2 linked regions of the Schizosaccharomyces pombe genome follow. Changing the gene in region 2 together with the main gene of any one other region gives a genetic interaction. Each region holds a gene or a part of one and is shown on either strand. Other genes may lie near its edges.

Region 1 (3,600 bases), on a different chromosome or scaffold from region 2:
GATTAGTAGGGTAGGGAGAATCACCTGAATTCTTCTATTAAGGATCATGTTTTATAGTATTTAGCTACTTCGTTTTCCCCGTAAGAACACCTTCATCTACCAAATTAATTGTAAAGGAGAACTGCAAGGACAGAAACTCACGCGGCTTTTTTGATCTGATATGCGGCATCGCTATGTTGCAATAACGAGAAGGAATTGATGGTAAACAAAACTAACCTCCTGGGTTATACAGAGCGAGTGCATCGTTATATCTAATGCTAATTAACAGAAAAACTTTTAAAGTAGTAAGATGGAACAGGCTGCTGGATGATCCAATGCATTACCAAATTGATTTAGATAAATGTATTGCCAACCCTTTAATTTTTTTTTTAGATATTAAATATCTTTTATATCAATTCTATATGCTTTTTATTTTAAGACTCAGAAGAGTTTTAATTATAAGTATAGTTAATAGTTAATAAATATGTAGTTTAGTGATAGAGATATAACCAAATAACAACAAAAAAATTAACTAAAGTATCATTATTATAAAGTCCATTGCTAGGTTTTATCACTATAAAATTTTTTTTAAGTTTGGAATTATTTACTAAAAAAAAGAAACTTAACGTAAATAAATAAAAACTAAGAGGACTTGTTAGTTTTTGTTTAAAAAATAAATAAATAAATAAAGAAGGAAGAGTTTAGCTAAGTTATCAAGTGAGCATAGATAGCATATAATAATCTATGTTTACAGATTTAAATGTTTTAAAGATAAATTACTTGCAATTGCTTGAAGATATGAATTTGCGTTTGATTAGTTTAAATCAAAATGTAAGAATTTTGGGTTAAATTAACATATGGCAAAAGGCTTGTCAAGTTTAAAGCTAAAAAAATACAAAACAATAGTGAATTTGAAAAGTTGTTCTAAAAAACTTGGACAAATCGTTTCCTTGCATTAACATTTCATTTAAAGAGCTAATCTATTTATATTACTTACTGATTATTCTTTATTCGTGGTTATTTCACACATAGGGCTACCCAAACAAGGTAAATTTTTGCGTCGTCTTGCTAGATTTAATGAAGGAATACAGAACAAAAAATCTTTGAGCTTTATATTTATTGTGTGAATTGAAAGAGGATGTTTGCTTGTGCTAGTAAAAACTTAGAAACAGCAATGTATTCTGCTCGTCCTTTTAATATTTTGCTAGTGTAAAGTGTCAGAGCAATATTCTCTTTTACTTAATTTTCGTTTTGAGTTAACTTTCAACGTCCAAGAATACCAAATTGACTAGCATAATAATTTAATGTATAATAGACACATGAGTTTATAATTACAGGTAAAAAGATGTTTGAAGTCTTCCTTTAAATCAGGTGTGTAGGTATAAAATAAATAGATCATTTTCATCTAACATGACCTGTTTACACAATTATACTTCAGTCTTTAGTTTATAAACATGGGCTTTAGTGTAATTTAACTGTGGGTTTTTGTATATTTTATTCATTAATTGACTTCATCGTTGGGTGAAATGCTGTTCAACCGTTGTAAACAACACACCTCTTTTCACGACCACCCACTCTTTTAGAATTTTAAGTAATATATAATTTGTTGAAGATACTATCTTTATGTCTGACAAGGGCATCTTTCGAACGTCTTCAACACCCTCGATTGTGGATGTTACGCCAGATCGTGGTGAAAGGCCACGAAAGTTGGTTCGCTCAGTGCTAGAATCTCCTTCTCAGAAAGATGTCGCATCAATTGTCAAGATAGAGCAAACACCATCTCGCCCATTTTTCAATGACTTTTTAAAAAAAAGAATTACCGATTCTTTAAACGAACGCCCTAATTTGCTCAACAAATTTATGTCTGCTCAAGATGGCACTCCATCTAAATCAACAGGTTTCAATGAACGGAGTTCACAACTTGTGTCAGAATTTACTACTACAGAGGATATTGAGAATTGTGAAGAAACCACTCAGGTTCTTCCTCCTAGACTGGTTGTTTACGAGCTACGCCTAACAAATTTTAAATCATATGCAGGAACTCAGATAGTGGGTCCGTTTCATCCTTCTTTTTCTTCAATTGTTGGACCAAATGGCTCTGGGAAATCTAATGTTATCGATGCTTTACTTTTTGTTTTCGGTTTTCGTGCTAGTAAACTTAGGCAATCCAAAGCGTCTGCCTTAATTCATAAATCTGCAACTCATCCTTCTCTCGATAGTTGTGATGTCGAAATTACTTTTAAAGAGGTAAACTCTGACTTTACTTATGTTGATGGAAGCGAACTAACAGTTCGTCGTACTGCTTATAAAAATAATACTAGTAAATACTTTGTAAATGGGGTTGAGAGTTCCTTTTCTGCAGTTTCTAATCTTTTAAAGGAGAAAGGAATAGACTTGAATCATAAGAGATTTTTAATTCTTCAAGGAGAAGTCGAATCAATAGCGCAAATGAAGCCCCGGGCTATATCAGAAGGTGATGATGGTCTTCTTGAATATCTTGAAGATATCATCGGAACCTCGAAATATAAGCCAATTATAGAAGAGAATATGCAAGAACTTTCGAATTCTGATGATATCTGTGCTGAGAAAGAATCTCGTTTAAAACTGGTGCTCTCTGAAAAGGCGAAATTAGAAGATAGCAAAAATTCGGTTCTTTCTTTTCTCAAAGACGAAAATGAGTTGTTTATGAAACAGAATCAGCTTTACCGTACTATTCTATACGAAACACGCAATAAAAAGACGTTAGTTCAAAACTTGCTTAATAGTTTGGAAGGAAAATTACAAGCACATTTAGAGAAATTTGAACAAACCGAGCGAGATATTTCGGAAAAAAATGAAGAGGTTAAATCATTGCGTGAAAAGGCAGCAAAAGTAAAAAACGATTGTACTTCAGAGAAGAAAACTCGCCAGTCTTATGAACAACAGACTGTGAAGATTGAAGAGCAGTTAAAATTTTTACTTAATAAAGAAAAAAAGTTAAAGAAATCCATTGAGGCTCTTTCATTCGAAAAATCAGAAGCAGAAAATTCTTTAAGCTCTCATGATATTGATTCCCAAAAGTTGAATTCTGAAATTGCCGATCTCAGTTTAAGACTTCAACAGGAAGAATTGAGTTTGGATGACATTAGGAAAAGTCTACAGGGAAAAACGGAAGGTATTTCAAATGCTATTGAAGAAAAGCAAAAGGCTATGGCTCCCGCCCTCGAGAAAATAAACCAATTGACATCAGAAAAACAAATTTTACAGGTTGAGTTGGATATGTTATTAAATAAAGAAAATGATCTAATTAACGATGTTGAGTCCTCTCAATCTTCGCTTGATAAACTGCGTAATGATGCAGAAGAAAATCGGAATATCCTGTCTTCTAAGCTTAAAGTGCTTTCCGACCTAAAAGGAGAGAAGAAAGATGTTAGTAAGAACATTGAAAGAAAGAAGGAAACTGTTCACAATACTTACCGAAATCTTATGTCAAACAGAACAAAGTTGGAGGAGATGAAAGCTTCTTTAAGTTCTTCTAGATCTCGTGGAAATGTGTTAGAAAGTCTTCAAAGACTTCATGAATCTGATAATTTAAATGGTTTCTTTGGACGTCTTGGTGATTTGGCTACAATTGACGAGGCT
Region 2 (7,563 bases):
CTTCCTATAGACCTTAAGCCAAGCACTCAAATTCGTCCATACCAAGAAAAGAGTCTTAGTAAAATGTTTGGAAATGGTAGAGCTCGAAGTGGAATTATTGTATTACCATGTGGAGCTGGTAAAACCTTGGTTGGTATCACAGCGGCTTGTACTATCAAAAAATCAGTAATCGTGCTTTGCACCAGTTCTGTTTCGGTAATGCAATGGCGTCAACAATTTTTACAGTGGAGCAACATCAAGCCTGATCACATTGCGGTTTTTACTGCTGATCACAAAGAACGGTTTCACAGCGAAGCAGGTGTGGTTGTCTCCACGTACTCAATGGTTGCCAATACCAGGAATAGATCCTATGATTCTCAAAAAATGATGGATTTTCTTACGGGACGTGAATGGGGGTTTATCCTATTAGACGAAGTACATGTGGTTCCTGCTGCCATGTTTCGGCGAGTTGTCACCACAATTGCCGCTCACACAAAGCTTGGGTTAACTGCTACGTTAGTTCGTGAGGATGATAAAATTGATGATTTAAATTTTTTGATTGGGCCTAAAATGTACGAAGCAAATTGGATGGATTTGGCACAAAAAGGTCACATCGCTAAGGTTCAATGCGCCGAAGTTTGGTGCGCGATGACCACTGAGTTTTATAATGAATATCTTCGAGAAAACTCCCGAAAAAGAATGCTACTTTATATCATGAATCCTAAAAAATTTCAGGCTTGTCAATTCCTCATCGATTATCACGAAAAACGTGGTGATAAAATTATCGTTTTTTCAGACAATGTCTATGCTTTGCGTGCTTATGCAATAAAATTAGGCAAATATTTTATTTATGGTGGAACTCCACAGCAGGAAAGAATGAGGATTTTGGAAAATTTCCAGTATAATGAACTTGTAAATACCATTTTCCTTTCTAAAGTTGGTGATACGTCTATTGATCTTCCTGAAGCAACCTGTTTGATTCAGATTTCTTCTCATTATGGTTCTAGGCGTCAAGAAGCTCAACGTTTGGGGCGTATTCTTCGTGCCAAGCGACGAAATGATGAAGGCTTTAACGCATTTTTCTATAGCTTGGTATCTAAAGACACTCAGGAAATGTATTATTCCAGTAAACGGCAAGCATTTTTAATTGACCAAGGCTATGCTTTTAAAGTCATCACTAATTTAAAGGGTATGGAGAACTTGCCAAATTTGGCTTACGCCTCCAAAGCGGAGAGACTTGAGCTTTTGCAGGAAGTATTGCTACAAAATGAAGAAGCAGCTGATTTGGATGACGGTGAGGATACTAGCTTTGGATCCAGAAGTCTCTCTAGAGCACCGGCGAAAGCTAAACGTTCTAGTGGTTCTTTAAGTACATTGGCTGGTGCCGACAATATGGCATACGTGGAATATAACAAGAGTGCTAATAAACAGCTGAAAAAGGACAGTAAAGAACATCATGCCTTATTTCGGAAGCACCTGTATACTAAACGTCGCTAGCGAAGTTATACATGCTAGCATACACACGATATAGACATGAATTTTGTTGATTTTTCTACGCTAAAATTTTTGATAATAATGCTTTCGTTAAGTTTTAATATGAAATTATGATTTCCCTAATTCCCTTGTAAATTCTAATTTGTGATTGGCAATATTGCCAAATCATCATCATTTTCTTTATCTTCTTCATCGTTGCTTCCGCTGCTAAGCGATTGTCGTTCATTGTTAGACGACCACTCAGTTGACAGACGGCGAATTAAACCCTTCAAATCGCATCTCATCGTGTTAATCTTTTGAAGGTTCCACTGTTGGTCGAAGTTTTTAGCATCCGTCCGTCTAAGAGATTTATCTAAAGTATTGGCTATCACTTGCTCAGGAGTTTCAAGAAATAGTTCGACGAAATGTAACGCATATATACCACAATCAGAAAAATTGCTTTGTTGCGGGACTTTTGCATGAAACCCCCGTATATCAGTGGACTTAAGATGTACATTTTTCCTTTCGAAAGCTTCTTCCAGTAAATATTCACGTAAGTAATTTAATGCTCCTTTATGAAGATTTGCTAAAGAATCAAAAATCAAAATTGCTGGACTATAATTAACTTAGTAAACTGAATCAAATGATTTATGATATATTTTTCCTTTTAATCAATAAAATTGTAAACCTTTAACATACCTATTGCTCGTTAATTCTGCTTGTCTAGTCTTTGAAGCAGACGGTTGTTCCACAGACGACATAACTATTTCATCCTGCTCTTCCAGTTTTGTGTCCACAGGCATTAATCGATCAATGTTGCAGATAATAGCTAGATACCAATGAAATGTTTCATTGATAGGAACAATAATGTATTTTTTATGGAAAAGGTCAACTTTTTGAGTCCACTTTCGAACTCCTCTATGACCTAGCCGCTTGCTATATTACCCATTAGTGATCAAATAATTGATAGAAGTAAAGCCTGTTACATACCCATCTTTATCTTTTGAAGTAAGACGATTATAGAAAAATGTGTTAAAAATATGAGTGTCATTGGCCAAAGAAGGATTTTGTGTTTGTAATTTACAGTATAAATATCTAAATTTTTGAGGTTAAAAGAAGCGAAGATTCCAAAAAAAAAAAAAAAAAAAAAAAAAAAAAACTTACCTCAAATAAAAATCAACAATAGTATCGTTTAAAAATTCTCCCTCATTGAGTCTTGTAAGGTCGGTATTAGTAATGGCAATTGAATTTGTTCCAGAAAACGGATATACGAGAATAGTGGTACAAGATGCATCAGACAGAAGTGTTTTATCAGAACCTTGAGAACATAAAGTTGAAAAGTCATTGGAAGTGTTTCCAGCAGAACTTGATGACTGATTTTGCTCTTGAGCTCCGTTATTTGCCGTTGGACGCTCTGACGATGACTGGTTCGAATTTTTAATCCTGGAAAGAAGAGAGTCACCAGAATTGGAATTAAATGGAGTTGGCGAGGATGGAAGGGAATGTTTAGGCATTTTTGAGGAATGTGGAGACGAGGTCTGTTTAACAATTGACCTTACAGTTTTCTGGGGAGTGCGAGGGATGATCGTGGATTGTTTTAAAGTCAATAATTGTTTAAATTCTTTAGCCGAACTAGGAGATGTTAAAGAAAAGTCAGATTGGTCCAAAAGATCAAGGCCAGCTCTAGCGGATTCTACATGTAATGGGTTGTATAAAAATAATAAACTGGCAGAATCACCTATCGTAATTCTTTTCATATCTCTATTTTTTAAGGTTAAATGAATAGCATGTACTGGAGATTCCACCAAATTGTCTCTCCATCCTTGAAGCCAGCAACACCGCTTCAACAATTGGACAGGGATGTGAATGACTGGAATGCTAGTATCTGTGTAAGAAACATTTATTTCATGGGTAGTAAATTTTAAACACCCAGGCCTAGGATCGTAAAAACCTCCATAACCCCCTTTTGTGAAAGGCAGCTCGACCACATCAATTGTTTTCTTTTTTCGTGCTAAACAAAGTAGCCAAAAAGAGGCAAAAATAAGTTAGTTTTTATTTTAAAAAATCAATTATTGATACTGAAGAAGAGGAATTGTTCTAAACATTTTGCATTTCCTCATGCTTTACACATGGATCAGAGCAAAAAAGTTGCGACTTACGAGAAACCACTGTAACATTTTGAAAAGAGCGTTTTAAGTGCTTAGGAGGTGTTTGATCATCATCTATCTGCTTCCGCCTTGGTGAATCCTTCTGTATAGCAGTTCGAACCGTTGGCTTTTCCGGGGATGTTACACTATTCGCTAGCCTTTCTAGCGGGCTCTTAATAGGAATAGCATCATTTGGGCTAGTACCTCTAGATTGTAAAAATATTAATATAGGAATGTGAATTAAAAGACGAGGTAAAGTCAAACCTTTGTTTTCCAAACGGGGGAAGAAGACTAGTGAATGACCCTGATTTATCATCCAGCTAAAAAATAGTTAGTAAGAAAAAGAAACGAAAAAGAATAACATACGGCATCTTTGGAATCTCTCATTCTTCATGACATACCTGTTTTGGCGAGATAGAGAAGCCTACTACTTAATCAATGGCACAGGTTTTGTGAGCCACAGCGCGTCCAAATAAAACATAAGGATTCATTATTTTGCGGTAGATGATCTGGGTAAAACAATGTAAATAAAGGGTATCAACCAATGCAAAGGATGTAAGTATCTCTAACAGTGTCTTTAACTCAATGTAAATGAATAAAAAACGAAAGGCATAGTTGCTTTTTAAGCTGATTTCTTCCTAACCTTTGATTAATCATATTACGATTGTTTTGATTTTTTAATAACGAATAGCGAACAAAATGTTGCTGTTAACTTCCAAGAAAATGATTTTTTGTAAACTATTCTAAATTCTTTTTATTGACTAGAATATATTTTACAGATCGTTTATTTAAACTTGTATTTATCTCTGATTTACGAATGCATTAGATACATTAGTCAATTGCAACCATAGTCGCATTAAAATCAATGTAAATTATAAAAAAAAATAACAACAATACATTAAGAACAAGTAAGAGCATGGGACATTCACGCATGAAAACCTGTTTGACCTTTGTATAATATCATGAAGAAGTATAATAATACCAATATTACTTGAATATTTATTATATGATATCATAGTAAAGAAAGTTAGTTTTGAACGATTTCCTTTCTAAACTATGTTTGGGACTAGATCATTTAAAACCACCAAATTATTTTGATAATTAAGAAGAAAAACTTCTGCTTTTATTTTTCGAAGGTTTACTATTTGTTATTAGTATGCTGATGATTCTGGGTTTATACTCATTTTCATAAACAATTTTGTAAATGATTAAAAGAAGAAAAATTTGTAAAATTGTTTTAAGAGTATTTATTAAGACTAATACTCTAATTTATATTCCCAGAACGCTATCGATACTTGCCTTTTGCGATACAGCATATTCCACACTGTCAACACTCAACGTAGCAACAGCCTACTCTGCAGCTGAGCATAAAACTACTCACATATCGTAAGTGAATTTGTTTTGATACATTGGAATTAAAAGTTATATTAAATTTTTGAAGATTAACCTTACTTTATAGAAAATGCGCGTAATTACTCTAAGCGGCATAACACTATTTTTGCTCGCCAGCTTAGCTTCGGCTATTGAGTTAACATTCAAGTTAGAAAACCAAGAGAAGCAGTGTTACTACTTAGATTCTTTTCACACTGGCGAAAAAACACATTTCACGTACGCTGTTCAGTCTGGCGGTTCTTTTGATGTCGATTATATGATCAAGGCACCATCTCAGAAGACCGTTGCACTTGGCAAAAAGAGAAGACAGGCTGATGTATTTTTCACCCTCGAAGAAAAGGGTGAATATGAATTCTGTTTTGATAATCATATGTCTACGTTTACTGATAAAATTGTGACTATGGAAATCACTATGGAAAATGAACTTTCTCTTCCTGCATTAACCCGTGATGAAGCCAAAGACTACAAAAAGGACAGCATGCAAAGTACTGTTTTAGAGATCTCAACCGCATTATCTGAAATTGACCGTGTACAAAATTACTTCAAAACTCGGGAGCATCGTAATTATTCTACTGTAAAGTCTACTCAAGCCCGCATCTTTTGGTTTAGTCTTGCTGAATCTATAATGGTTGTCGCTCTTTCTGCTCTTCAAGTCTTTATTGTAAAGACATTCTTTAAACGATCTGGTCGGAGAGGTGTATAAACTGACTAGTCGGTCACCTTTCTAACAATATTCATATCTGTCATGCCTATGTATGCCTTTAATCAGTCTTAACGAAGCTTATAGCTCTATTGTTTTATTCAGGATTATATTATTATGCCAGGATTTAAATAAGACAATCGACATGCGTCTTTATTAAATCAAGGATTACAATTTCTTGTAGTTGAAGTATTTTCCACTAAGCAATATTATTATTTCCTTCATTGCATTTTACAACTGTATTCGTGTTTCATACAAATTTAAGCAACCTATCAACGAAATAAAGAAAAAATGTGCTTAATGAGTATTTAAGTATAAAAAATTGTATACTATGAAAAAAAAAGAATGGGTAGGGTTAGCGGCCATAAATGAAGGATTAGACTGCTAAAAGGGCATAAAAATGAAATGAAAGCCGTTAAACTATTTGAAGTTCATAAGAAAGGTTTTAATATAAACCGAGCAGAACAACTGTACAACCAAAGTGAAAAGGGCAAAAAAGGGGAATAGAAATGAATAAAAAACGTAAACGGAGAAGACGCAAAAGCTCATGTAATAAAACTTTGAAGGTCGAAAAAATAATTTGCAGTCGTTTGACGTTATAATAAATGAAACTCAAGATCCTTTGTACTTGCAACTCACGTTTCAATAATGCGTAAAGTTAATAAAGTGATTCACTCATTTTCATTCATATTTACATCAGAAGCTGACCCAGAATCGCTATTATCTCTCTCTAAATCACTCTCTGTACCACTGCTTTCAAGTTCATCTCTTTTCAAGGGCTTAGCCATAGCAAAATAATGTTTCTTTCGAAGTTCGTTGAAGTCCGGTTTCTTTTTAGGAATGTTCTCTTCAGCTTCAGATAAAGCCTCCTCTTCCATTGCTTCGTCTTCTCCTAGAATTACTCCTTCATTATACATTTTATCAGCATGATCAGAATCTTTACCTAGGTTATTCACAGAAGGATGAGTACGTAAATGGTCGTCAGGATTATTAATTCTGGCATGAACTACTTCAACTTGGGGTTTTGTTTCCCTCGGAAATAGTTCTTTTTTACTTGGTAAATGATTATCTGTAGAGTACTTTGGTGTTGGAGCCTTCATACGGACGGTGTACCTATCACCCGAAGTAGTCGGTTCAGTACAAGGAACCGGGAAAGGTTCCTTTTTGACATAAAATTGTTTCTTGTCGCTCGAAAAGGAGACATTGTCATCTTTAGAATCTTTTGACACCCGGGTACTGGGAAGAGTGCCGAGTGTGTCACCCAAAGTTCCAGCAGTAAAGTCGTCCTTACTGTCAGTTTCATCCAAATTGATTTCAGGAACTTCATCATCTGGAAGCAAAAAGCGTTGAAAAGGAGTTTTCGGTTCGGTAATTTTCATTTTCGCTGACTTCTGCTGTTCAGCTTTTGAAAGATTTTCCTCATCCCAACGAAGACGACGAATTCTTTCTTCCGATGGAGTTCCTGTGCCCGAGCAATCACTCTCATTCATATCAATTGAAGGTGTTGATGAGACCATATTTTGTTGTTGGCCACTTTCCATTGAGTCAGTCTCAAGTGAGGGAGAACTCATACGACTATGTTTAAGAATTGATTTAACCTTCATCGTTATCTATTTCTGTGCGTTTTGGATACGAGAAAATGATATCCTTGATTTGAAGATGTAAAAGTTGGTGGAGGATCAGTTGACGCATGTACCTACTACAATCACATCTCATACGAGAACATTCCTTTACCAACAACAACCTGTATATTAAGTGATAGTATATCATAAAAATGACTGATGATTCTGTCCCTCCTCCATCGTATGAAGAGGTTTTAAGGCAAGAAGGTGTTATTGATTCACCAAACTCCAGCAATGGCCAAACATCTAC

What was found. Genes that interact genetically often act in the same process or in processes that back each other up.
Region 1: mutations in ulp2 (region 2) and cut3 are lethal when combined (synthetic lethality), as found in Schizosaccharomyces pombe (2 studies listed by BioGRID, with this or other methods).

Annotation. Positions count from the first base shown.
Region 1 is NC_003423.3:1,004,466-1,008,065, reverse strand, and holds the start of cut3 (condensin complex SMC subunit Smc4), read left to right. Parts: upstream 1-1,542; 5' UTR 1,543-1,602; coding exon 1,603-3,600. Other genes in the region: erv2 (sulfhydryl oxidase), read right to left, coding at 1-48. UniProt on the Schizosaccharomyces pombe protein: Central component of the condensin complex, a complex required for conversion of interphase chromatin into mitotic-like condense chromosomes.
Region 2 is NC_003424.3:1,762,726-1,770,288, forward strand, and holds ulp2 (SUMO deconjugating cysteine peptidase Ulp2), read right to left. Parts: upstream 4,009-7,563; 5' UTR 3,987-4,008; coding exon 3,966-3,986; exon of another isoform or gene 3,920-3,965; coding exon 3,864-3,919; exon of another isoform or gene 3,806-3,863; coding exon 3,612-3,805; exon of another isoform or gene 3,531-3,611; intron 3,464-3,530; coding exon 2,617-3,463; intron 2,548-2,616; coding exon 2,443-2,547; intron 2,442-2,442; exon of another isoform or gene 2,389-2,441; coding exon 2,152-2,388; intron 2,068-2,151; coding exon 1,611-2,067; 3' UTR 1,508-1,610; downstream 1-1,507. Other genes in the region: transcription factor TFIIH complex ERCC-3 subunit Ptr8, read left to right, coding at 1-1,476; erp2 (COPII-coated vesicle-associated protein Erp2/3/4), read left to right, coding at 5,062-5,694; protein phosphatase regulatory subunit Glc8, read right to left, coding at 6,363-7,295; protein hua1, read left to right, coding at 7,466-7,563.